Neodiprion lecontei: one gene and its partners. The protein of the gene in region 3 purifies or fractionates together with the protein of the main gene of each other region. This does not show direct contact. Links are inferred from orthologs where the notes say so. Each region holds a gene or a part of one and is shown on either strand. Other genes may lie near its edges.

Evidence for each region. Proteins that work in one complex are often made in the same cells at the same time.
Region 1: the proteins of ras-related protein Rab-11A (region 3) and unconventional myosin-Va purify together in Drosophila melanogaster (affinity purification with western blotting; 4 studies listed by BioGRID, with this or other methods). This does not show direct contact. The link is inferred for Neodiprion lecontei from reciprocal best matches to the Drosophila melanogaster genes Rab11 and didum.
Region 2: the proteins of ras-related protein Rab-11A (region 3) and exocyst complex component 2 purify together in Drosophila melanogaster (affinity purification with western blotting, with the first as the bait; 3 studies listed by BioGRID). This does not show direct contact. The link is inferred for Neodiprion lecontei from reciprocal best matches to the Drosophila melanogaster genes Rab11 and Sec5.

Annotation. Positions count from the first base shown.
Region 1 is NC_060261.1:12,491,245-12,498,008, reverse strand, and holds the start of unconventional myosin-Va, read left to right. Parts: upstream 1-2,592; 5' UTR 2,593-2,821; coding exon 2,822-2,848; intron 2,849-6,764. Other genes in the region: DC-STAMP domain-containing protein 2-like, read right to left, coding at 1-82, 549-824, 1,398-1,501.
Region 2 is NC_060260.1:36,126,157-36,135,503, reverse strand, and holds exocyst complex component 2, read left to right. Parts: upstream 1-2,421; 5' UTR 2,422-2,632; coding exon 2,633-2,741; intron 2,742-2,857; coding exon 2,858-3,158; intron 3,159-3,233; coding exon 3,234-3,429; intron 3,430-3,557; coding exon 3,558-4,059; intron 4,060-4,199; coding exon 4,200-4,504; intron 4,505-4,797; coding exon 4,798-4,982; intron 4,983-5,067; coding exon 5,068-5,182; intron 5,183-5,253; coding exon 5,254-5,529; intron 5,530-5,611; coding exon 5,612-5,938; intron 5,939-6,000; coding exon of another isoform or gene 6,001-6,006; exon of another isoform or gene 6,007-6,019; coding exon 6,020-6,204; intron 6,205-6,334; coding exon 6,335-6,521; 3' UTR 6,522-6,539; exon of another isoform or gene 6,540-6,883; coding exon of another isoform or gene 6,884-6,945; exon of another isoform or gene 6,946-7,060; intron 7,061-7,346; coding exon of another isoform or gene 7,347-7,647; 3' UTR 7,648-7,675; downstream 7,676-9,347. Other genes in the region: uncharacterized protein LOC107225718, read right to left, coding at 1-118, 208-414, 1,279-1,387; uncharacterized protein LOC107225708, read right to left, coding at 6,884-6,945, 7,347-7,647, 7,794-7,878, 7,945-8,270, 8,369-8,758, 8,936-9,238, 9,329-9,347. UniProt on the Drosophila melanogaster protein: Component of the exocyst complex involved in the docking of exocytic vesicles with fusion sites on the plasma membrane.
Region 3 is NC_060260.1:921,314-929,353, reverse strand, and holds ras-related protein Rab-11A, read left to right. Parts: upstream 1-2,684; 5' UTR 2,685-2,998; coding exon 2,999-3,038; intron 3,039-4,302; coding exon 4,303-4,498; intron 4,499-4,588; coding exon 4,589-4,863; intron 4,864-4,956; coding exon 4,957-5,093; 3' UTR 5,094-5,113; intron 5,114-5,298; exon of another isoform or gene 5,299-5,301; 3' UTR 5,302-6,348; downstream 6,349-8,040. Other genes in the region: 60S ribosomal protein L15, read right to left, coding at 36-230, 490-600, 699-835, 1,068-1,248, 1,843-1,962; vacuolar protein sorting-associated protein 72 homolog, read right to left, coding at 6,929-7,160, 7,258-7,494, 7,612-7,846, 7,938-8,040.

The DNA.
Region 1 (6,764 bases), on a different chromosome or scaffold from region 3:
TGCCAGTATGAAAGCGTAGGCCATAAGGGCTTGGCGTCCACGTTTCGAGAAGAATTGCGGCAGGAGTAGGAACACTACACATCTGTTATAAACGGTGGGTTTCAACGTTAAATTGTAGTTCGAAACGTCAAGAAGCTGAGTTCTATAGCGTGTTCATACTATCCTTTGATCATTTATCAAAGTGATAATGATCTTTACTTTTAATTTTCTAACTGGAAAATATTTGGAACAGCGAAATTCTGTAAAATTTGTATCAAATTACCAAAAGTATTCGAATCATATGACAGTAATCGGAATAAAATCATAGATTATAAAAGATTACAAGAGACTTCGTGGGATTTCAGAGAATTTTTTCAAAGGAAAATCTCCGAAGTTTCAACAGATTTCAAGAGATTTCAGACGATTTTAAAAGTTTTCCAGAGAATTCAGAAGATTTCAGGAAATTTCACATGATTTCCGGAAAAGTTTACACCAGATTTCACGAGTGATTAACCCTGCGGCCAGCATCAAATATCCCAATACCACGAGAAAAAATATAGTTCGAATACCTGACACGGTTGGAAAACGCCAAGCCGATGGTTAGAATAATCCCCAAAAATGAGCTGAACAGCGTTGCGGATGACAGGGTGAAGTTCAATTGGAATATGAAAAACATGAAGAACATGTAGGTGAGGAATATTCCACCAAGAAATCCGAGAACGCTTTTGAGGACGTAATTTTCAAACGTTCCATCCGTTCGCAGTAAAACTGCCTTTTCGTGAAACCAAGAATCCTTTGGACAAGATGCCAAACTTTTCAGCCAATTTTTGAATCTTAATATCAGGCTAGAAATCAGAAAAAAGAAATCACCGATTCCTATCGAAAGTATGCAAATTTGTTTTTGCACAGATTTCGTTAGCTGAATGCTAATGAATTGGATTTGTGCAGGGAAAAAATACATTTCTGAGGCGGGAAGAACATTTTTTTAAATTTGCTATCGTCGCAATAGATCATAGCAGCAGGGTTAAAGTCCAATAAATCGACAAAAAAATGCATTGACCGAGGAAGCATTGGAAAAGCAGCTGGAGATTCCGCCGTTTTTTTTTTAACATTTTTGACGAACCCACGACGAATTGACTTTGAATCAGAGTGGATAATTTCGTAAAACGGCGGTTTCCAATGCAAAGCAACTGGTAACTCTGCTTCCAAAAATCATATACACATATAACAATGAAGAAGAGCTGCTTGATCACAGTAAAGTCCAAGCTGTCCAATGCTCCCTCTTTCTGTTTGGGTTTTTTTCCTACCGATGTCTTGGACTTTAATCTCGAGTGACTCAATTTCTTGGGACGATTGACAAATCGTGACTAATAAAAATAACCAAATATTTACTCGGCATATTAGACTTGATAACATACAGTTTCTTTTTGTAACGAATCTTCTGCCTAAATGTGTAATGGATCTTGGCTCCTTTAGAAACTTCTATAGATCTCATTTTCTCATCCTGATACAGAAGTTTCATTTGCTCAAGCCGCCTAGCTTTCAAAGTCAATTGAAAGAAAGCCATTTTTCAAGTCACACGATTCACTTCCAATACGTATTTATCTATTATACAATTCACTATTGCTCAGACATGATTTTATCCGATTATTACTGCTAGAAAATTAACTGAAGTGAGGTTAATCAATGACATTTAATGAATTATACACCTGTAAATCAGATCCACTCTACTCTATTTCGATAAACAATTGCCATCATATTCTCGGTTATTTTATTCATCATTGCGTGTGTACCTATTTAACATTTATAATATCGAGATGTAGGTATGAAACGTGTAATGAATCGCGTTCAAGTTTGTCAATAAAAAAACAAATTGAATATTGACACGACAGATGTTTTGGTTGCAGCTTAGTGATTATTGTATATTGTATACAAAAGTTGAGTTAATCAAGTTTGTCGGTAAAATTTTCTTTCCTTCATTTTTTGATCGCTCGAAAATTGCTATTATTGGGATATTCGGTTTAGAACAATATGGCGTCGCGTCGAGCGATCAGCTGATAATTTGAGGCTAATTAAACGGAGCGCAGAAAACGTCGTTTAAGTTGTTCGACTCTGATTTTAAGTCGCTAAATCGACATAGAGAAAAACATACGGTGAAAAAACACTTTCAAATACACTAATTACGACACCATCACAATTAGTGTTGCATATTCACTGCCACCAAATGACACCTTAGTTCCGAAGTAACATGATACATAGGTATGTCCAGGATTGTCGAAAATAAAAAAATGTCGAATAAAAATGGGAAAGAACAGAACGAAATGTGTGATGAAAATACGCAACAAAGAAAAGTTTTCGTGCTAATCGTATCTTGTAAGAATACTTCGACAGATTCCTGCATTTTCCTGCACCAATGCAAGTCGATACACCCAACGTCTGTTGTCGCTGGAGTCCATATCGACGCGTTCTGGACCCAATCGACTTCGGCAGAGTCAAAACAGATCGCGACACCTGTCGCTGTAGATAGGTTCATCACCTGTGTGAAACCAGGCTACTGTGGGGGGGGGTAAGGAAAGGAGAGGAATGGAGGAAGTGGGGAGAGCATGAGGCGTACAATGCCAACCGATAGTAAGCCACAAGCCCAGCTGTGAGTCGCAAGCCATCCGAAGGCTGATAGTGAGTCGCGATAGAATCGGTGTCGATTTTGTACGTGTTAAAGAACTCGGAACGAAACCTTCGCGCTCCAAAATGTTGTGACGCTCTTTACGCGGAGGATACACAAGGGATTAATGGAATTTAGTGAGAATCAGCAACGGAAATTGGACTCTTATCCATCGCCACCATGACGACAAGGGAATTATACGTTAAGGTAAACGGTGGATCGAATTCGCGGATGCAAAATTAATCGATCAATTCATATATTTCTTAGGTTTCTCGTTGTTCGCTTGTTTCTCATCGCATTCGCACACGCCCGTACACTTTCATCCTCGACTTTTGAACACGGTTTTCGGAATATGAGAAAAACAAATTCGTCTTGTCGACACGATCGACTGACGCGTTTAACTCTCGCAGTCTCCGTGGAACAACAGAAATAAAACCGGAACCGGTCGAAAGACAGAAAATTCGAATTTGCACACACAGCTGGCCGGCCGAATTATACTCCCGCATATTATGACGAGATGTTTACCTAGGTGCAATTCGCGAGGAAAGCTGCGATATCGATTTGCTCCGAAATTATTTTCTCTACACGCTTATTGTTGTTATCGTTTATAATTCTGAGTTAGGCTCAATTGGGCGATCCATATTTCCGCTCATCGTCCACCGATTGGAAAATAATATATCGCTCGCAATTAGTCATTGTATTGATATGTTCTGACCAATGCCTTGATTACGCAGCTGGTCGATTCAATTGCAGCTTGAGAATATTTGAAATCTATTTCATACTATATTTTAACAAGGATCTGATTCATTCTTGCATTTTTGTGGTGTTCAATTATTTTCCATTGTCCAGGATCCGAAATACGGTGTAAATTTTTTCAAGAAATTGGAATTGGAATTTGTACTAAAAATATCTACGGAATCAATCTACAATACCCATTGATGATGTTAAAGTATTATAACGAATTTTGACAAAAATGTCAAGGTAGGTTTTTGAAGAAGCTTGCTTTTTATAAAACTACAGAGTGTTTGGAAAAGTGATCAATTTTTAATACAAAAATGCATAATTGTGAAATGAAATTCAGCAGTTTTAATAGGTAGTAAATAAATATTTGAAAAGGAGAGGACAAAAGATATGGCTAACATTTATTTCATTACATTTTTCTCCTGCTTCTTTTTACAATAAATTTATTTCTATACTTCGAAAAACATAACTGTAACCTTATAGATAGTTTTCATTAAATCTCGTTTTCTTCCACCAACTATTTCCACGAAATTAAAGAGGAAAGTGTGACCCAGATGAGTTATTGACGTTTTTGACGCGAGAGCTTTTTCGTCCATTCAGAGCTTTGGTATTCTGGAATCTAGGATGAAGAATAAATAAACCAGTCTTACACCGATGTCGAACATGGTTATTTTAACCGTCTTCAAATTTGATGTAAAACATTATCATTTAAATTTCGCAAACGCGTATTCTGCGAAACGCATTCAATGTCAGGTTAACAATAATTGTATCGACTTAATTGGGACATCCAAACTTATTTAGCTGTGTTTGAAAATTTCCGACGATTTGAAGCAATCCCCTGGTGAAAATGTTTTTTCAACAATCTTTGTCAACAATTGGTAAATGATTCGATAAACTCACAAAACTTTCATCACTTCGAAATAAATTTCAAACGATCCTAAAAATTAAAAGAATATTTCTTTGCGGTATTATCAGAAATTTAATTCAGAAGATTTTCATATATGTATAAATTGTAAATAATTTTATTTTAAAGACGCATAAAATATTCGTAAATTATTTAAAATTCTGAAGTGAGCACAGTTGATTCTGCAAATTTTCCATAAAAATAATGTCCATCATCGCACGTGACGAATTATAATCAGTGTTATATTTTTTTATGAAAAAAAAAAAAAAACCAAAACATTTTCTCTTTCAAATCTTATTTTGAAAGGCTGAAAATGTATGAAAACGTTCGGAAAGGTATCTGATTATTACTGTGCACACGAAGTGTTCGAATCCTGGTAATTTTTTGGAATACACTTAAGAATAATAAACCAAACTGAGAGAATTCCGTTCTTTTTTTTTGTTCTTTTTTTTTTCTAATCTGTAGGAAATAATCAGACGAATATTTTGAATCTCGAATATATATCGTAAAGAAAAAACGTGCGGATCATGAAATCCGTATTCGTAGATAGACGCATAGAAAACTTGACCTCGATCTGTTCCTCCGCGAATTTTCAACGGGGGTCGCGCCCGCACCGGCGACTCGGGGATGGATTCACGGGACTATCGATTCCTGCTTGAACAACTGAGCGAGCCTATTTTCCGACGATCCCAGACGAATCCTAGGTTTGTTCTTTCGTCGGCATGCTCTAACACGCGCACAATTAAAAAAATTAAGGGACTACGTACAGTAATATTCGTCGATGCCTCAACTTTCCGGCTAACTTGTTTTCGGTCCGAAAAAAAATGCGAGTTCGTTTCTATACGAATTATGTGACAATGACTGGCGATGCCGCCGACGCGAGTGATTGGGAGTCATTGTCACGTAAGTCGTGTAGAATCGAAATCGCAGTTTTGTTTCGGACCGAAAACAAGTTAGCCGGGAGGTTAAGGCATTGACGAATGTTACTGTTGGCTCACTATTTATTTGGAATGAAAATTTAAACGAGTTTTCTTTCTATATAAGTTTTAAGTTTTGCCTCATCGGTCATTGGCACGTAAATTTGTCTAGAAAGTAAAACTTGTTCAATTTTTTTTTTACCAAAAAAAAAAAAAAAATAGTGAGCCGCGCGTAACCAATCGTTGAACATTACTACACCTAGAACAATTTAAAGCAGAGTCAATTTTGACAATTTTTTATTCGATGGTGATTATTTTGTGCGTAAAAAGTTATTAGGCACAAACTATGTTATACAGTTTGTCTATTCAGTTTAGTCGAACCCTACGTTACAGAATGCGAAATTTTTTCAAAATCTTTCTATAAAATCTCTGAAGTATTTGTATATTAGGTTGTCAGCTTCGTCGATTGATTTTCAAGAAGTTTCTAGTCAGACATTTTTACCAAGTCTTTATAATAAGCCCGTTAAGTTTTGATGAAGAAATTTTTTTTTTCTAAAATTGCGAAAAATTGCCAATGATTTTCTTAATTTGAATAAAACATTTACCGAATAATTAAATATTAAGGAAAAAGTGGAAGCATAAAATTATTTCAACGTAAATAAAGACGAGCAATTGCGAATTGAATTCAATCGACGTCATTGTTCAAATATCATGTTCAATACTGTCTGTTTATTATTTTGATAATTGTAAAGGCCTGAACGTCATCAGGCTGTATAGACCGATAATAACAAAACGTGTCGGCAATTAGATAATCACCGAACAATTCTTTTTTATCTTATCAAAACACGATACTTTCGACTCTGTCTATAACTCCCCTTATTGTACGCCTTTGAACATATGACACCACATGAATGTATGTATCATATATAGTATGAATGCACATATACATATAAATTTCGTACAGTGTACGTTGAAAATCAAAAATTCCATAATTTGTGCAAAAAGTTTCCGCGAAAAACTGGAATTAGAAATATCACTGAAATTTTGTGATTCATTAGAAAAATTCCGAATTTCGAATTTTTTAAAAGTAAAGTGAAATAAGTGTGCTAGAATTTATAATTGAGACTTGGGCTTCCACAATTCTTAAATATACTATACATGTAATACATTATAGATATAATCTATAGTGTATGCGTGAGCGTGACGTGGAGGAGAATTTTATCCTTCATATTAACGGTACATTAATAAATACGTACATCATGTATATAATACATAAAATAGGCGTGCAAATGCGTGTAAATGAGTCAGTGGATCCGGACGTCAGGAATTCTCCACTTTTTATCGCCGGAAAAGATTGATATATACGTATGTGTACGTATAACGATGATAAGATTATGATATGTCCTGAATAATTAGCTAAGTTCGTTGGATGAATCTAGCTTTTTGAGACGATATTAAAAAAACAGAAAAATTATGATCAACGTACTTTTGTATTTTATTTTTATTTTATCAGACCGAAACGCAAATTAATGTTCATATTGTTTCTTTATCAACTCGATCT
Region 2 (9,347 bases), about 35 Mb from region 3:
ACACCACTTAATGCTTCATGAATTCTGTTTAGTAGTTCACTGTCTGATTTTGCTACCAAGTCTGCCTGGCATATTTCGCTATCTTCATGTTTTATGTCCAATTGATCGATGTCTGTAACTAACAAAGCTCGATTGTTTACACGATTTAAATAAGAAAAAATACAATTGTTTCGTAATCCGTACAACTATAAGATACTCATATAATACCTGAATTGCTTTTTGGGGCATCTTCGGTATCGCTTCCAAACATATCAGGACTCGGGGCCTCATCAATTACTTCAGAATTTTTATAAGCCTCATTTGACTCTGTGTATACACAATCCATAGCATCTTCACTCATGTAGACCACTTTGGTCTTAACTTCGGAGGTACTGTTAGTCGTCAACAAATCACTAGCGCTTTTATTCGACATTCCTAAAATTCAGTATTGAACACGTATCTAATCTATGAAAAGTGAGTAATGAAAGAATGATTAAAAAAATGTTTATTAGGAAAAGAGATGGATTGAAAATAATTGGTTACTAGTAACAGATTTTTCCTTAAAATGATCATGTTAGTTCAATATCAATATAACACCTAATAAAACCAATGATAAAACCAACAACCATGTATAAATTATATACGAAATAAGTCAAAATGTATTTATTTTGAAATCTAAATTCTATGGACCGATCAGTATTAATTATAAATAATGAGCAGAAATATTGACTCGATGAATTACTTGATAGATTAACTGAAAACATGTAAAACATTAAATGTTACTGTTGCGTGTCTTGGTTTCAATTTTTTTTTTTTATGTTATTTATTATCCTTAAATACAATGTTTTACGATGGCTATAAATATGGTAGAAAGACACTAAATAATTGACTAATATTCCATTTCCTGAAGGTTTTTAAGAATTAAAAATACACCTTATATGTCACGGAGTTACCTATATGCATGTTTTCTGAAATTCTCGAAATGATTTTTTGAAATTGAGATTTCTCTTGACATTTCCAGGTTCTTGAAATTTTTATCTGTTTATATAAATCTTCACATATGTTATTGATCTCTGGTGAAGATAAAGATTAGACCTGTTTTGATTTCTTATTTTTTCACTCAAGGGTAGTTTTGAGGGCATCAGCACAATCGTTATGAGAGAAAGAGTAAAAAACCGAATTTTGTTAAGGACTTACAGTTATGGCCAGTATTTTCATGACTTATGAGAAAAAAAAATCAAAATGAGTGGAACTAAAAATCCCTCAGATTTATGTGATTGGAATAGTACTTGTACTTACCCAACGTCGATGGACTCAACGCAAGGTCATCTTCTAAGATAGAAGTACCATTGCAAGGAGCTGAGTTGTCAATGTCTCCCATTATTTGCTCTAATGCTACAGCGTGCATGTTAAAGTTAGTTGTCAATCATTCGACAATATGACATCTTTTCAAAGACAGTCAGGATATTTATAATATAGAAGCAATTCGATGTTGTCTGTAAATATTTCAATCACTTGATTAGGAAGGATCTAGAAATTGGACTACTCCATAAGTTGTGTTACGTAAAAAAATAACTGCTCATATTTTGCATTCGCTAATATGGACGGGTCAAGAGCATACTTCGCTCAAAAATTTATTAATCGATGTATTGTGTCTATGCCCAGGAACGGTAGAGGACCACAACTCGGCATACTAGGTTTGCACATTTTATTCATATGAATAAAATAAATCCTTTACTAACCTCTATGACGAACGATGATGATAAGGTGGAGTTGATTTAAGAACGGTGAATCATCACCTACCATATTTTATTACCCAGCAGATTGGCTCTGTAAACATTGACACATCAAGGAATACCCTACGATGAAAGCAATTGTACTGAAGGTTACAAGATATGTTTAGTAAAATTGTATGTTATTCTATGAGGTGATATACACGTTAAGGGTTGTTGACTCGCGAGGGGCTGCATGCTTGAAGAAAAAGTGTCATACCGTAATTTAGAGAGATTTTAGATCGCGACACACCGATAATGATTGAAAATAGTTCAACAAACAATTAAAACATCATTTGTCGACAATATGAATACGTCATATTGTTCAGATAGTATGCGAAACTCAAAATCAACATCTCACACCTCTTCCAGTCAAACGACGATACCTTCATAACGTAAAAATATTTCTAAGCGAGACGTGTTATTTTCTTTATGTTCCACTCACACTACGGAGTAAACTCACACACTCACCATCAACCCAGGTGCCAGAGATACCAGATTACGACTTACGACCTCTTACGAGCCGTGGTCAGACTGTCACGATCGTAAGTCAAGTGATGAAAGCCTTGAAAGTTTACTAACTGCTACCTGGTGGAATTTCCTGGAACTTCTCATGCTCCCGTCTGGCTCTCGCTAGATTTCAAACTAAAATCGGTAAAAGAGGATTTCTGATTACATTTGACACCACTTTGACACTGACATGACACTGACATCAACTTGTCTAACCTTTTAACCAACCTAATCTAACCCGAGCTGACATATTCTGGAATCGTGGGGCGGTTTGACAGATAAACCTGATCTTGACCACAAAAATAAGCACAAAATAAGGAATTGATTGGAGACAATTGTCTGATTCATCTGAAATTATTTTCAATGCAGATATGGGACCACCGCCAGTAGTTACAGGGATATCGCCGAAGGAAGGACCACCAGGAACGCGAGTGACGTTGAGGGGCGAGTTTTTAGGAGCAAAAGCGCAGGACCTGATAGGTTAGATTGAACTGTCACTGTTGAAAATATTGGCATTAATTGTAAAAGTCAACTATTGAAAATTGAATCCAGGTATACACATGCTGTACATTTTCCAAAAAATCATCCTATTACAGGTTTGACCATCTGCGGATGCGAGTGTCTTTTGTCAGCTGAATGGAAGTCCCCAAACAAAATCATCGCCCGCTCTGGACCAGGTAAAGGGCGAGGTGATATTATAGTCACAACAAGAAATGGAGGCCAGGGTACTTCGACCGTCCAATTTCGTGGCTATCACGAAACCATTGGACCCATGAAAGAATCTGCTGTATGGGTTGAAGAAGCACCAATGCAGAGCTTGGTATGGGGAAGACGAGCTCTGTCACCTACTAATTATCAGCAAGAGGATCCGTTAGGACTCAGCGTCGAAGGAAATGAGTTAGGAAATGTTCTGCATTCAAGATTACTGCAATAGTAACGAAGCAAGATCTAATCAGAATATATTGTTTTCAGTAAGAAATTTCCTGAGGATGAATTAATTGAGCTATTTGGCGATGGTAGCGGTGAATTGGCCAGTGAGAAGTTTCACCCAGGCTGGTTTTTATTACAACATCATCATGCTACCACCCTAGATGATCTTAAAGCAGGATTAGCTTATCTCAGACGCAAAGTTCACTCACAGAAAGAGGGCCAATTATCTTTTCTCAAGGTGAAACAGGACAATTTCACATCACACAGATACTTTTTGATTCGTTCAACATTCGATCTTCTGATTTACACTTTTGTTTAATTTTCTTCTCCAACAAGTAATTTGTTGATCTTTTTATTTATTTATAGGCGAATGTTGGTTCGGTGATGGAGCAATTAGATACAATTATGCTACTGAAGGAACAGTTTGAGTCAGATGTTCAAAAAAATGGCAAAGATCCAACAGCGAAACTTGAAAAAGCTATCAAAGATTCAATGGCTGAAGCTGACAAACTATTTCATGATGTCTTGGCTCGAAGAGATAAAGCGGATGCGACAAGGAATGCCTTATCTTTGATGCAACGCTACCGATTTTTGTTCTGTATGCCAGTAAACATTGAAAAGAATATAAAGGGAGGGAATTATGAGTTGGTAATCAATGATTATGCCAGAGTGAAGAATCTATTTGGTAATACTGAGTTGGAAGTTTTTAAAAAAGTATTAAACGAAATTGAAGTTAGAATTGGAAAACTTAGAACTGTGCTCCGAAAAAAATTAGAAGAAATGCCGGTCACTTTGGATGAGCAGAAAAAGATCATAAGAAATTTAGTAAACCTCGCAGCTGAAGGTGATCCAGCATGGGATGCGATAGGTATGCACTATTAAATATATGTGAAATTTCAATAGGAAAGTTCATGAACCAGGGCATCACGGGTCAGTCAAGTACATTAGTATTCTATACAGGTTGAAATTCTTTGTGATGTACTGCAATGGTGTATGTTTGTATTTCAGCATCACATGCTCATTATTTAGAAAAAAGTGTGACAGCTTGTATAAACGAGTATTTAGAATCTGAAAACGCTGGTGGTGATGATTCGAGTAAAACCCCAAAGTCAAACGGCTTAACGCCAACCTCGGTCAAACAATTGAGAATGCAACAAAACGAGGAAAATAATGTTCCACCACAGGTTCTATGTGTTGAAGCTATTTGTGATGTAGTCACAGAGCAATTACCAGACTTATGGCGCTTAGGACAGAGTTATTTTACAGGACAATTACACGTAACTGTTGATATAGAAAAACAAATCCCCTTCAAAGTGAGTATTCAAATAATGACTCAGGAAATGCTGTTGACTTTCTAATTTAAACCTTAATACTTGGTATACTTTTTCATTTTAATGCTGAGAAAAAAAATGTTCCATATAAGGTTTTTCATATAGTATGCATGTAATTCGATTTTACACACTGCATCGAAAAGTGCCATTTTATGCACTAATAGTAGTGCTTAAAATCGAATTATTCTACATATACTATGTCAAAAAAGTATCATATGTAACACATGCCTACATTTTACATAATTGTGCCATAATATACTATTTCGATATTTTAGAGCCTGGTTCTATCTAGTATGCAACATGCAGTGGATGCAATGAAAACAGCCTGTGGGACAAACTTGGATGCATCTTGGCTTCTTCATAACTTGAGACGTATCCGACAAACGTATGCGTCTTTAATTCATTTGGATTTACCCAGTGAGGCCTTAGACATATTTGGCAAATACTTATTTGATCTTAGGTAGGTATTCTAATGTATTTGATAGTTTCAAAATGTGAATTAATATGATTTAAAGTGAATAATAAAACATTTGCGTTCAATTCAGGTTACAGTGCTTGGTGGCATTGTTCAAGCAAACCGCAGACAAAATAACTGCCTTACATCGTAAGGAAACATGGAAAATTGAATATCTGAATGAACACGGAGGAGTAACACGACTGGTAATACACTCCGGCACTACATATTTCAAGAGAAATATTCAGTTTATTTATGTTTGACTTACCTTGAATAGCCAGGTCTTTTTGAAGAAATGGTACTGGAAGTGTCAAAACTCGCTCGAGAAACAGTAATAGCTTGTGGACCTCGAGAACTCCCTTTGCTAGCGCATACTAGTCATCAAACTCTGTTTCATAATGCAGTAAAAACACTATTCACTGCTTTTGCAAAATGCTTACAACAGCTGGCTTTCAGTGGAAGTGAAGAAGCTATGGACGATGATGAATCCTCAGTATCACAACTGATTGGTTCTCCAGTTGGCTATAGAACTAGAGACAAGCAACAAGGGCCAGTGAGAATTTACTTTGAATATTTTCATTGCTAGTTACTGTTTTCAATAAACGCTACCAACCGAATTATCACACTTCCTACAGACATGGGAGCAGTGTTTACTAATATCACTGAGTAACATTCGTTATACTCTGAATACAATAATACCACATGTTAATGATGCACTGAAGCAGCATGGTTATCCGCCCTTGTCTTTAACCATGAGTTCGAATACCGATTGGACTCAATTGGATACATTGGATAGTGCCGTATTAGACGCATATTTGGAACGACGCTGTGATCCCCTTGTCGGTACCATAGAACCAAGTATGTACCTAGGTGGTCTAGAATGGCATTTGGACATTGAGCCCTCACACGTGAGGCCTTACGTACAAGAGGCTTTGACTAATCTGATCGCAGTTCATGCAGAGGTATTTACGTTGTTTTCATGTGAAAATATTAAAATTACAGATAATTTGGATTCATTTTATAGTTGTAATTTCATGAAACAGGTACGACGGGTTTCACCAGGTTTATTGAAGAGAGTTTTATCACACATTGTTGAAACAGTTGCTGAAGAATTAGCACGGCTGATGTCTTGTGTAACTCGTTTTAGTCCTTCAGGAGCTGTTCAAGCTAGAGTCGATATTACGTTACTGACAAGTGCTGTCCACTCTTATATTACTCCGAGAGCTGGGTAAATCTTGGTCTTTCTTTTTTGAATCCCAACCGAAGCCCTATTTGTATCAGATTCAAATAAATTTGTGGCACTGATTCGCTTGGGTAGAAATCTGAAGCATAATGAAAATACAACATTTTTCCTACAGGAGCTTTTTCGAAGAAGCATTGGATGCGATTTCTGAACCAGTCTGTAAAGAGGACTCGCAAAAAGTCGACGCTCTATTGCGCAAAGTAGCTTCCTCCATGCGCCTACAACTTGCATGTCTTGCTGACGATTCAGCAGACGGCATTATTCTGAAGGGATCCGATCCAAATCGTGCGACAACAGTTTAACTTCCATTTGGAAATTTGGTAACCACTTTTCCTTCAGTTTATATGATTGACAAATTTTTTTACCAACTTACATGACTCCGCATAATCCCTTCTTATCAAGACAAATAACGTGCTATTAAGTACAAGTGGGATTTACTATTGAGTAAATTGTGCACGATTCACAATATATTTCATGGATTCTTCAAACAGTTTGAAATAGTAGTATAATTATTTATATTTTGTAAAATACAGAGACACAGAACTGTTAGACATACATTTGTTTGCTATGCGACAGCTTCCCATACATAGAAAAACTTGCAGATTATTAGGATGGTGTAAAACTATGTACATACATACAATTTCCACTCACGAAAAATGAATCTTTACGTGGTCTCTTCAACGACTTGCAAGATTCCGGTAGTTCCAGTTAGTAATACTATATCACCTGTAAATAGGAGTGGATAATATAGTTTACAAAAAAAAAAGGAAGCAGTAAAGTTTTGTTTTAGTGTCTATACCTGATATTACGAATAATACTAAGCATCACGATAACTGACTATGATCAGAGTTATAAATACATATTGTAAATACGACTAATATTGCATAGCGAAAATAAGAAAAATAACACAAATAAATATCAGAGAAAACAATTTGGAACATGCTTTTTTCATCACAAACACAAAATTATATTTATGTAGAGCTTGCTTTATTTCACATATTTATATCTGTTTAAATCAGGGATAAAACAAGGGCTATTGCAGGTTTTGTTAAAAATGATAGTTACGAATTGAATAAGTGTACTACTACTCTTTTTGTTTTTGTGTAGATGTTTTGATTCATACATACCTGTACGAAATTTTTGTGTAGCTCCTTCAGCACCAACAATACACGGTAAACCATATTCTCTCGCTACAACAGCTCCATGACTAATGAGACCTCCAAGTTCAGTGACCACACCACCCAATATTGGAAAATAGGGACTCCAACCAATATCGGTGCACTGTGTTATTAATATATCACCAGGTTTCAGTTGTACAGCATCATTTATATTAGTGATAATGCAAGCACGACCTAGGACTGTCCCTCCACCGACTGGTGTTCCTGATACCCGAGCACCTCCCTCACGAATTTTTGTACTGGGCTCTGCCTAAATAGAACAAATATTTTTATAAATATTTAATAGTGTTAAGATTACCATATACGTACAGATTAGACATTACAAAAAAAAATTGGAGGATACCACTTTCTTAATTGTTGTGAACTGATATTATACAGGAAATACTTTTCACTTACCAGTATAGGTTTTAATACACCTCTATTCACTTCCGGGAACTGAATTTTGTCACAGTGAGGATAAAGTCTTTGTCTTCTTATCGCTCTAAAAAACAATTTTTTGTTTTTCAAATTAACCTTATGCTCAGTAATGAATAAGCAAAATACTCACTTTTGCACTAATGTTGGATTTGAACTAATAAATAACAGACCAATTTCCTGATGGGTAAGAAAGAATATCAAATTCATGTCAGGTAGTTGGCCATCCTCGACCATTAGTCTACCAAGTTTTTGGTATCCTAATCTCAAAGCATTGACTGTGGAAACTAAAACAGCTTTTGTCAATTCTCTGCGACTAACGGCACTCCTGTTAAGTGGTATCAGCATCTCCAATATCTTTTTTGTGACTCGACTTTTCGGCGTGCGTAATCGATCTACAGTTTCGGCTACACTTAATTCTTTAAATACTGGTGGCTCTCCTGATGATGCTACGGCTGCCTGTTTTTAGCCAGTGACAGAATAAATAAATATCAAAATATTTTAGTCTTATGTTGAAAGTAATATTTTTTGAGAATCTCGTTGTATTTATGACTTACTTGAAGTGAGGATATTAGTTTCTCAGGCTTCATATCCCATGTTTCAGTCATCAAATCTAATTCTCTTATGCACCTGTATCCGTGTTCTTTCAAAAAATCATCAAACATGACTGCAGCTGCAGTGCAATTCAGCGTTAACCAATCTCTAGCTTCTTTTGGATCTAGCTTAACAAATTCTTCAGCTTTTTCACCATTCCTTATTGTATTAGCAAGGTTACGTAGAGCTGTGGGAACTTGAGCACTCACTACATCACTACAGGAACTTAGGAATATGCCTACATCTGAATAGTGGTTGATATTCAAATTTGGAGCACCTTCTGTCAACACTGACATTGCAACAATTTGACAGAATACACTCACTTTTGATGTATGAGCGTGATATATTGATGCCTACATCAAAGAGAACACAAAGTAGCAGTTTTTTGTAAATATTAGATGATGGAAGCAGCAAGCAGCAAAGTTATGACGTTCACAATTTTTTCTAATTTTTTGGTCAATAATGGAACACATGTCTGTAGTAGAAATTATGAGTATGTAAATAATGATTAAATATAAGAGTATAGGTACCTGAAGCAATTTCTCTAAACTATCATCGAGATCTTTATAAAGATGTTCCGCCCTTACGTAGGACTCAACATCAAACTTGAAGTTTGCGTGAAATTTCTTAGCCAGTTGTTCTATGTTTCCATTGACCCAAGTATCTCTTATTATGGCTTTATACAACTTCAGTTTACTCTTTATTCCCTGAATTCCATTTCTTTTCACAGCCCAAGCATGAAGCTCTGGGGTTGTTACTTCATGACCACAAATTGCGATATCGATGATCTTATTGCTTAAAGATATTTTGGACTCAACTTCACGCAATATTGTCTGCATAAAAGTATGTGTAAGAATTCTAATGCATATGGAAAGTTTAACAAATTTGAAATTTGTGAGTTATCGTATTTTATGGACACTTACATTCATATAATTAATGCAG
Region 3 (8,040 bases):
AAAAAACACCGAAAAATATAACGCCGAGCACGTGCTTAACGCTTTCGGCGCAACGAGAGTGAGTTTCTTCTTAACCAGGCGGCGCGACGCGATCCACCGATCGTCTGCGAATAACGATGACCCTTTCCTAATCCACGTGAACTCCTGCCTACTGAGGTCTTTCCGCGCAGCTCGCGATGCTTTTGTACCGAGTTACAAATCCAGTTTACCTTTGGATCATTGCGGATTGCCTGTGGAGAATAATATGCCGTTAAAAATTAGGAACGCAAAGATATAAATCAAAATATTAACAATGTAATATAAGATAGGCCACCCAGTAATCAGACATCCAAGGAAGCAAAAACATCATCAGTTTCAATGCTAAAATAATGATATCATCATGTCACTGGGGGCAATCATGATATTTTTTTTTTTTGTAGCAAAAAGAAAAAATATCTCTTTTTTGTCTATATCTGAAAACTCTACAATTACCACAATACAAATTTTTACCTTGTGTGCAGGGTCAACGAGAATGATTTCATAGTATTTGTAGGACGAATCTTGAGCTACCCAGTAGCTGTTCAGCACACGCAGTCCACCACAGCGGCGACCAACACGTTCCTGTAAGAAACATGGTGAGTGAGGTCATTATTGCAAGATTGAATTAATTTTTTCTCTCATATTATTGCAGATTTATAAGTTGATATTGTGACTCTTACTTCAGCAATGGACTGCAGTTTACGTGTGGGCTTCAATTGGTTCACCCCGTGACTTTTTGGCTTACCAAAGGTAGCACCTTTGGGTACAGGGCGTTTACGACCTCCACGACGCACACGGATTCTGAAGATGACAAAGCCTGTAAGAATTTGTAAAACGATATTTTACTAATATTCAATATATTTAAAGATTAAACGAGAGTAGATCAAATACCCAGACCAAACAATGTTATTTAAAACTTTTCATCAGACAGTACATATCCCCACGGTTCAGTAAGAGTGGTGCATGTACAGTTCATCACAGAAAATATAAATTTTAAAGACAGAAATATGAATTTTGTTACATTCAAAAATATAAATTTGCGCAAATACCTTGCTTAGCTTTGTAACCCAAGCGGCGGGCTTTGTCGGGACGAGATGGCCTGGGTGCACGATGCATTTTGGTGAGTTGACGATACTGCCAGCATCTAACTCTAAGCAAGAAACGGAGCACATCGCTCTGCTTCTTACGGTACAGCTCTTGCATATACTTGTATGCACCCATCTTGATTCCCTGGTGTAAGAAAAAAACGTTCTCTTGATAACAGTTCAATTGAACATACGAAAATGATGTCAAATAAGCGGATATTTTTCAGAAAAAACAAGGGTAATTTTTCTCAATTCACTCAGGGTCAGAGTGGTGCATGCCCAATCATCATAAAAATATCGGAAACTACAAAGTTGTACTATTTCCGTACCCAGTCGAACGAAACAACCGTGCACGCGTACGACATGCGTTTCACTGTCAACTTTAGACATACTTAATGATTAATTAAATAAAAATAGACTAGCTAGTGATCAGATCAGATCAGCTTTGACGAAGGTAGTAAAAATATTTTATATCAAGCAAAGAGAAACAATTGCTGTTCGCTGCTTGGTACAGAATATATTTGCCGCTAGCTTTGTACGATTAATTGATACACTTGTGCGCTGGATAACCTAAAAGCACAAACGGAGTAAGACTTTTTGGTATTGCCTTGAGAATTGCAAACTATTACCGAGAGATTGAGGGTAAACGTATAATGGTGCAAAATCGAACGATAGAAGTTCACTGGAAGCTGTGATGTCCTGGATAAATTACGATTATTCAACAATATGTCCGACTCACCCCTTGCAATCCGAAACAGAAAAGGAAAGGACTTGAACTCCATCGTGTAGCGAGGTGCGGACGTTGGACGAGACGGCGCCACTTATCGCCGGCGTACTTTGCGCGCGTTCCAAAAACCATCCAAAATAGCCAGGAATATTTCAATTCTCTAGTCAATTAAGCGGTGTATAAATAATTATATTTGACGCGTTATTTAAATTGACATTTAATGAAGATTTTATCAAAGCTTTATATAATCCAAAAGCTCGTTAAATCTACTTTGTACATTATATATTATACGCAGAATAAATTCGTCGATGCAGCTGTGGGTTGAAAATGAAATCACGGTCGGGGGAAAAACGGGAATTCGGGTTTTGAAATCGTACGGACAAAGGAAATCATTTTCAATCTTTTGCCCAAACAGCAAATTGATGGTTCGTTTTAACGGAGCTATAGAATTCTATCGTACAACATTTTATACAGACACGCCTTGGGTTGGAATGTCTCGATAGTTATCAATCCGGAACAGAGCATTTATTATCTGAAGTGTCATCGCTGGACATGTGCCGCGTGATTATTGGACACTGATTACCAAGTATAATAATTCGAAAAAAAAAGTCTATTTGATAGCTAAATTACAGGGAACTTTATGGCGTTTCAATTCCGTTCTCGGATTTCTCTGAATTCAGTTGAGACTGCGGAATAATGTCGATGTAAGCGAGTTGTACAAAAGCAAAAAGCATGCAATATATGCGCGATCTGTCATTTTGACGTTGCTCATCATCGTGTCATCGCAATAACGCAGCGCATGCGTGTTACGGAGTTGTTTCGAGGTCCCGCGCAAGCGCGGGATATCGGTTTGGAGGGGCGTAGAAAGGAGGCCATATTGTACAGTTAAATTGAAAGGGAGAAAATAATTAATTGTATTATTTTAGACTGGGAACCGTCCAGTCACAGTAATTTTTCAAGTAAACACCCGTGCAGCCTGTCTAAATAATATACCGATCGGTAATCGGTGGTCATCGATAAATCGCTCCTAAAACGACGAGGCTTTTGTAAAATAAATACAGACAGCGACGTCGGAATATTTCTTGCGTATCCGTGATCGGAGGTAGAGGAACAAACGTCGTCGTCGTCCGCAACGAAACCAAGGGAGGAGTTCGTTGCTACCGCGGAGATGGGGACTCGAGACGACGAGTACGATTATTTATTCAAAGGTAATTGTACCCGTTTGAATAATCATAAACTCATAATCGCAACTCGATAATCAAGCGACGGAGCCATAACGCGACTATCCTCTGTCGGTTTGCCAACCTCCGACGAACGCGGCTCGGAACTCCATAGGACTCTTCTCATATAGTCATGTTTCACGCGTTGTTGTATTGTTGCTTGATTTAAGTGACATTGGCACATACGTACGTCACTTGCGTTCTTTCCGTCACGAGGAAACTAACCGTTATCGCTTTTCCGACCGCGAACAGATTATTGTTTGCAGGAACCGCGTTAACGGAATATGTTTGCCACCTTATGAAATTATTTATAGTTTACGCTATTCAAAACGCGGAGATACTCTGCGATCTTTCGACAATATCATTGATGGCATTTATTTGTTCCATTCGCACGAAATATCGAACGTTCCCGAATTACTTTGATTATAAGTTCCCGTTTTGCGTACAACGTACAATAAATAATCATGACGTCAGCAAATATCATTTCTTTTTTACTATTCTTTGTAGTCCTCATTTACGTATAACTCGTAATCAAGTAATGTGACTGTGTCACAACATGACTGAGCCTCCCTCTAGTCTGACTAATGCTTGTGCTCGGCTCTATATGAGTTGCTTTGTTAACAATGACCTTTGTCAAACTTTAGAAAATTATTTTTATGATAATTTTTTCACAGAGATGAAAGTTCAGTTTGAAAAATTTTCTGCACATTTATTTTCCAACACGCTGGTACTGAGAATTTTTGTGACGGAACAGGTTATTGTGCATCTTTTTATCTTTGTTTTGTCCATGTCCAACAGTAGTACTATCGCTATCACACTTGATTTGTTCGTCTGCTCGTAACATGTTTACAGGCTTGTCCTGCCTCCTGCTATACAACGAGCGCGACCTGACACCGAAATAATTTTAATAAATGAGTAAAGAATTCTCGTCGTCGACAATCGCCTACTTACATATATTCGATGTAGAACCCATTGAATCTGTTACCGCACATGCACATATCAACTTTAATTTGCATATATTACTCTATTCATGGCACCGTTTGATTGCAACTGAAATCAATTCTTCTTAGATTCTAGAGTCTAAGAGCACATCTGTAATTGATCGAGATCTCAAGAACTTGAGGTCAATTAATTTCCTTTCATAAGTCAGTACCGAAGAATTAGAACAATTCTGATAGGTAACAGAATGCCATTCGAGTACACGGGGGAAATTAATCAAGGTAATTCCAGTGACAATTGTGTTTGATTACAGTTGTCCTAATCGGAGACTCAGGAGTAGGAAAGAGTAACTTGCTCTCACGCTTCACACGTAATGAGTTCAACCTGGAGTCAAAATCGACCATAGGTGTTGAGTTTGCTACGCGCAGTATAGAAGTAGACAGCAAGACTATCAAAGCTCAAATATGGGACACTGCTGGACAAGAACGTTACCGAGCTATTACCTCAGCGTGCGTATATGATTATGGAATATTTGACTATTGTTCCTTGTGATTGGTCTGTTTGTAATTAATTTGTATTACATGTTGGATGTACGACAGGTACTACCGCGGAGCAGTTGGAGCATTATTGGTCTATGACATAGCAAAACATTTGACGTATGAAAATGTGGAGAGATGGTTGCGAGAACTTCGGGATCACGCAGATCAGAACATAGTGATTATGCTGGTGGGCAACAAATCCGACTTGAGGCACTTACGAGCAGTTCCTACCGACGAGGCTAAGGCATTTGCGGAGAAGAATGGCCTCTCTTTTATCGAAACATCCGCTCTGGATTCGACCAATGTTGAACTCGCTTTCCAGAATATCTTAACAGGTAACATGACAAGAATTCAGTTTCAATTTAATACGAAATTTTGAAAACTTATAATCGTCTTACGTTTCCTTATACATTCTTTCAACTCTTCAGAAATCTACAGAATCGTTTCTCAGAAACAAATTAGAGATCCTCCCGAAGGTGACACTATCCGGCCGCAAAACGTAGAGCCAATCGACGTTAAACCGACGATGAATGCTGACGGAATGCGCAAGCAGTGTTGCCAGTGACTCGCCTTACTGCTTTCTATGTGAGTGGCGCTGTGAAATTGATTCTATTATGGTCATTCGTTATTTAATTATTCTTTATCTGATTAATTTCCAACCATTACCTGACACAAACTATTCAAAAGCTTACATTTTACTAATTTAAGGACGTTTTTCTCCTGTTTCCTCTTACTTTCTGGAGCGTTCTGATATCATTCCAATTTTTCAGAAGCGGTTACATGGTGGGCTGGAGGGAGAGAGTGGTGACTGGTGGTAGGTACAGCGGATGCGTGGTAGGACGCGGACTAAGACTATATTTTCGATCTTGTATAGGTGTAGAAGATCTTTTTTTGGTCTGTTGGTTTAAATGGCAGAAAAAGATTCAATTCTCCCGAAAAAGCGACGTACAAGATAAAGAATTCACCGTGGCCGGCACACCATTCTGCCCTCTATTCAAATTTGTCTTATTTACTACTATACATATACATATATATACACATATATATCTACACTATTATACATATATGTATGTATATATATATATATATTACGTTATGATAATTAAATGTTGTATTACCGCTTCTTTGTAATACATATATAATTATTCTTCTCTACGCATAGTGTGATGATCACGAGTACATATACTATAAACAATTTATAAATAATAACACAATTACAATGATAATTGTGCAGAGCAGACGTCGTAATGAAAATACTAAATATCAATAAAGACGAAACGACGAAGATGGGAATGACTCCATGTTGATCACTACTTGCTCTCGCGCGCACGTAGTAGAATTAAAATAAAATGATACGCGCAAGCACTAAACTGTATGCTTTTCGACTTTATTTTTTACAAACAGCTTCGTGTCCAGAAAAACGTGTGAAATATTAATTTAAAAAATGAAAAAACAAAGGTAAAAAAATAATAAACAATTTCACGTAGACATTTAAATTTAATTTAAGATTGCGACCAGGAAGACATTTTGAGCATGTACAGATAAATGATTGATTGGTTTGATACGCGTGTAGACGCGTTGCAGATTGCGAGAACCATCTTTGTCGTAAAATAGAATGACTTGGAACTGAATGAAATAAATCGAAGCAAAGGCAACAGCGAACAACACGTTGTGGAACTTGAAATGTCTAGGCTTCGCGCACTACACGAGAGATTAACAACTCCTAATTACTATACAAAACATGCTTTAGAAGAAATGAAGGAAAAAAATCTTGAGAAAGAAAAAATTAAAAAATTAAACACACTGTTATGAAAACCTTATGATATGCGTAATTTACTAACCTTATTATTAATTACAATTACATACCTAATTTTTTTTTTCTACACATTTAATTTTATTCATATTGAAATAAAGACGTCTCTTTCGTTGTATCAAATAGAAAACGTCTTAGTGCTGATTGTGGTTTCCTGATTAAATCCATGTAGGTAAATGATAAATTTGCATTTTAGCAATAAAGAATATGAAAACAAAAAAACTTTAACTTATTCTACTAGTTAATGTGAAGTGGCAAAGCTTTATTAAAAAAAAAGAAAAAAAAAAAAAACAATAAAAACCATTGAAACTCGTTCCGTTCGTTTAAAAAATAGATATTTTTTAATCCAATCCCAATTCTTAAAATCCCTCGAAGGAAGTCATCTACCCAACAGAGTAGAAGCAATTTCCATATTTTCGAAAGGGAAAGTGGTGTAAATTGCTTCGATTTTTTCGATTTTCATTCTCATTTTCGTATGAAAATACTGAAGCAGGCATTTGATAAAATAATTATCCAGTGTCATGTCAAATGATGTGACAAAAGACTGTTCAATGCTACAAGGAATAGCGATTGACCAGAAGGATCAGCTAAGATGCCTGCGACACTGAAGCGGGTTCCAGACGAATCGTATTTCTGTTATTATTGCGACGATTTTTCTGACGCCATTCAAGCCACCGTACCAATTCAAGGTTTTGAGTAGCATCGTTTGTCTCTGCACGAGATTCCAGCTGTTGATAATACGCCTCTCTTAATATTCTAAACATTTGTATATTTCTGTACGGTAGCTGTGTCACTGGATCCATATACCGTGCAGGAAGTCTAAAATCATTCAGAAAATATAGTGTATTAGTACCTGATTATTTCAAAGTAATCACCTTCAGGAGTAATACATCAATGTCGAAAGGCCGTAACTTACCTTGTAATTGCACAAAGAGATTTTAGTGAGGGGCGAGGAGCAGGTGTACGTTTGAAAGCTTCCGTAAAAAGTCGTTCGTTTTCAAATGTGATGAAAGTTCTTTCGTATTTAGAACCTGTATCTTCATGAATGATTTGACTTTCAGCTTCATTAGGAGCTGAGCTCGATTCTCCCTTCTGTTTAATAGGTGTATCTTTGTTACCGCCGTCAATAGTTTTTTGTTGATCCATTATTTCTCTGAAAAATAATTTTGAAAGTAGTTAGAACTACGGCAGTTATGGACGTTTTTGTTTTTTATTGCGGTCTGCATATTGCAAAAGGCTTTACACAAATAACGACCAATTTAAGTCTCACTGTTTTTCAGACAAGGGAGGTGATAATCCAGGTTCTAGAATATCACTGGTTGTATTAGTGGTATTTTTTTCATCGTCAGCTTCGACGTTAATTTTTTCCTCATCTTTGTCAGCTTGTGTTTCAGACAGCATCAAAACAGGCATAGACAAAGATTGGTAACGTATAATGGGGCCAACATTTGTCTTTCGCACTGTCCTCGTGTTTTTCTTCTCGTTCTCTAACTTTTGGTATTTTTCTGTCAAAACATGTTAAAAGTATGAGTTGAATAACCATCCATCGGCACAGACAATCATGTCTTTTTACTTGCCAGCAGTATTATTCATTACCTAATGATTTTAAATTTACTTCCTCCGTGATGAGGGCTTCCTCCAACAGTTCTTCCTGCGTTGGCTTCCAAACGTCGTACTTTACAGTCTTAACTTTTCTCTT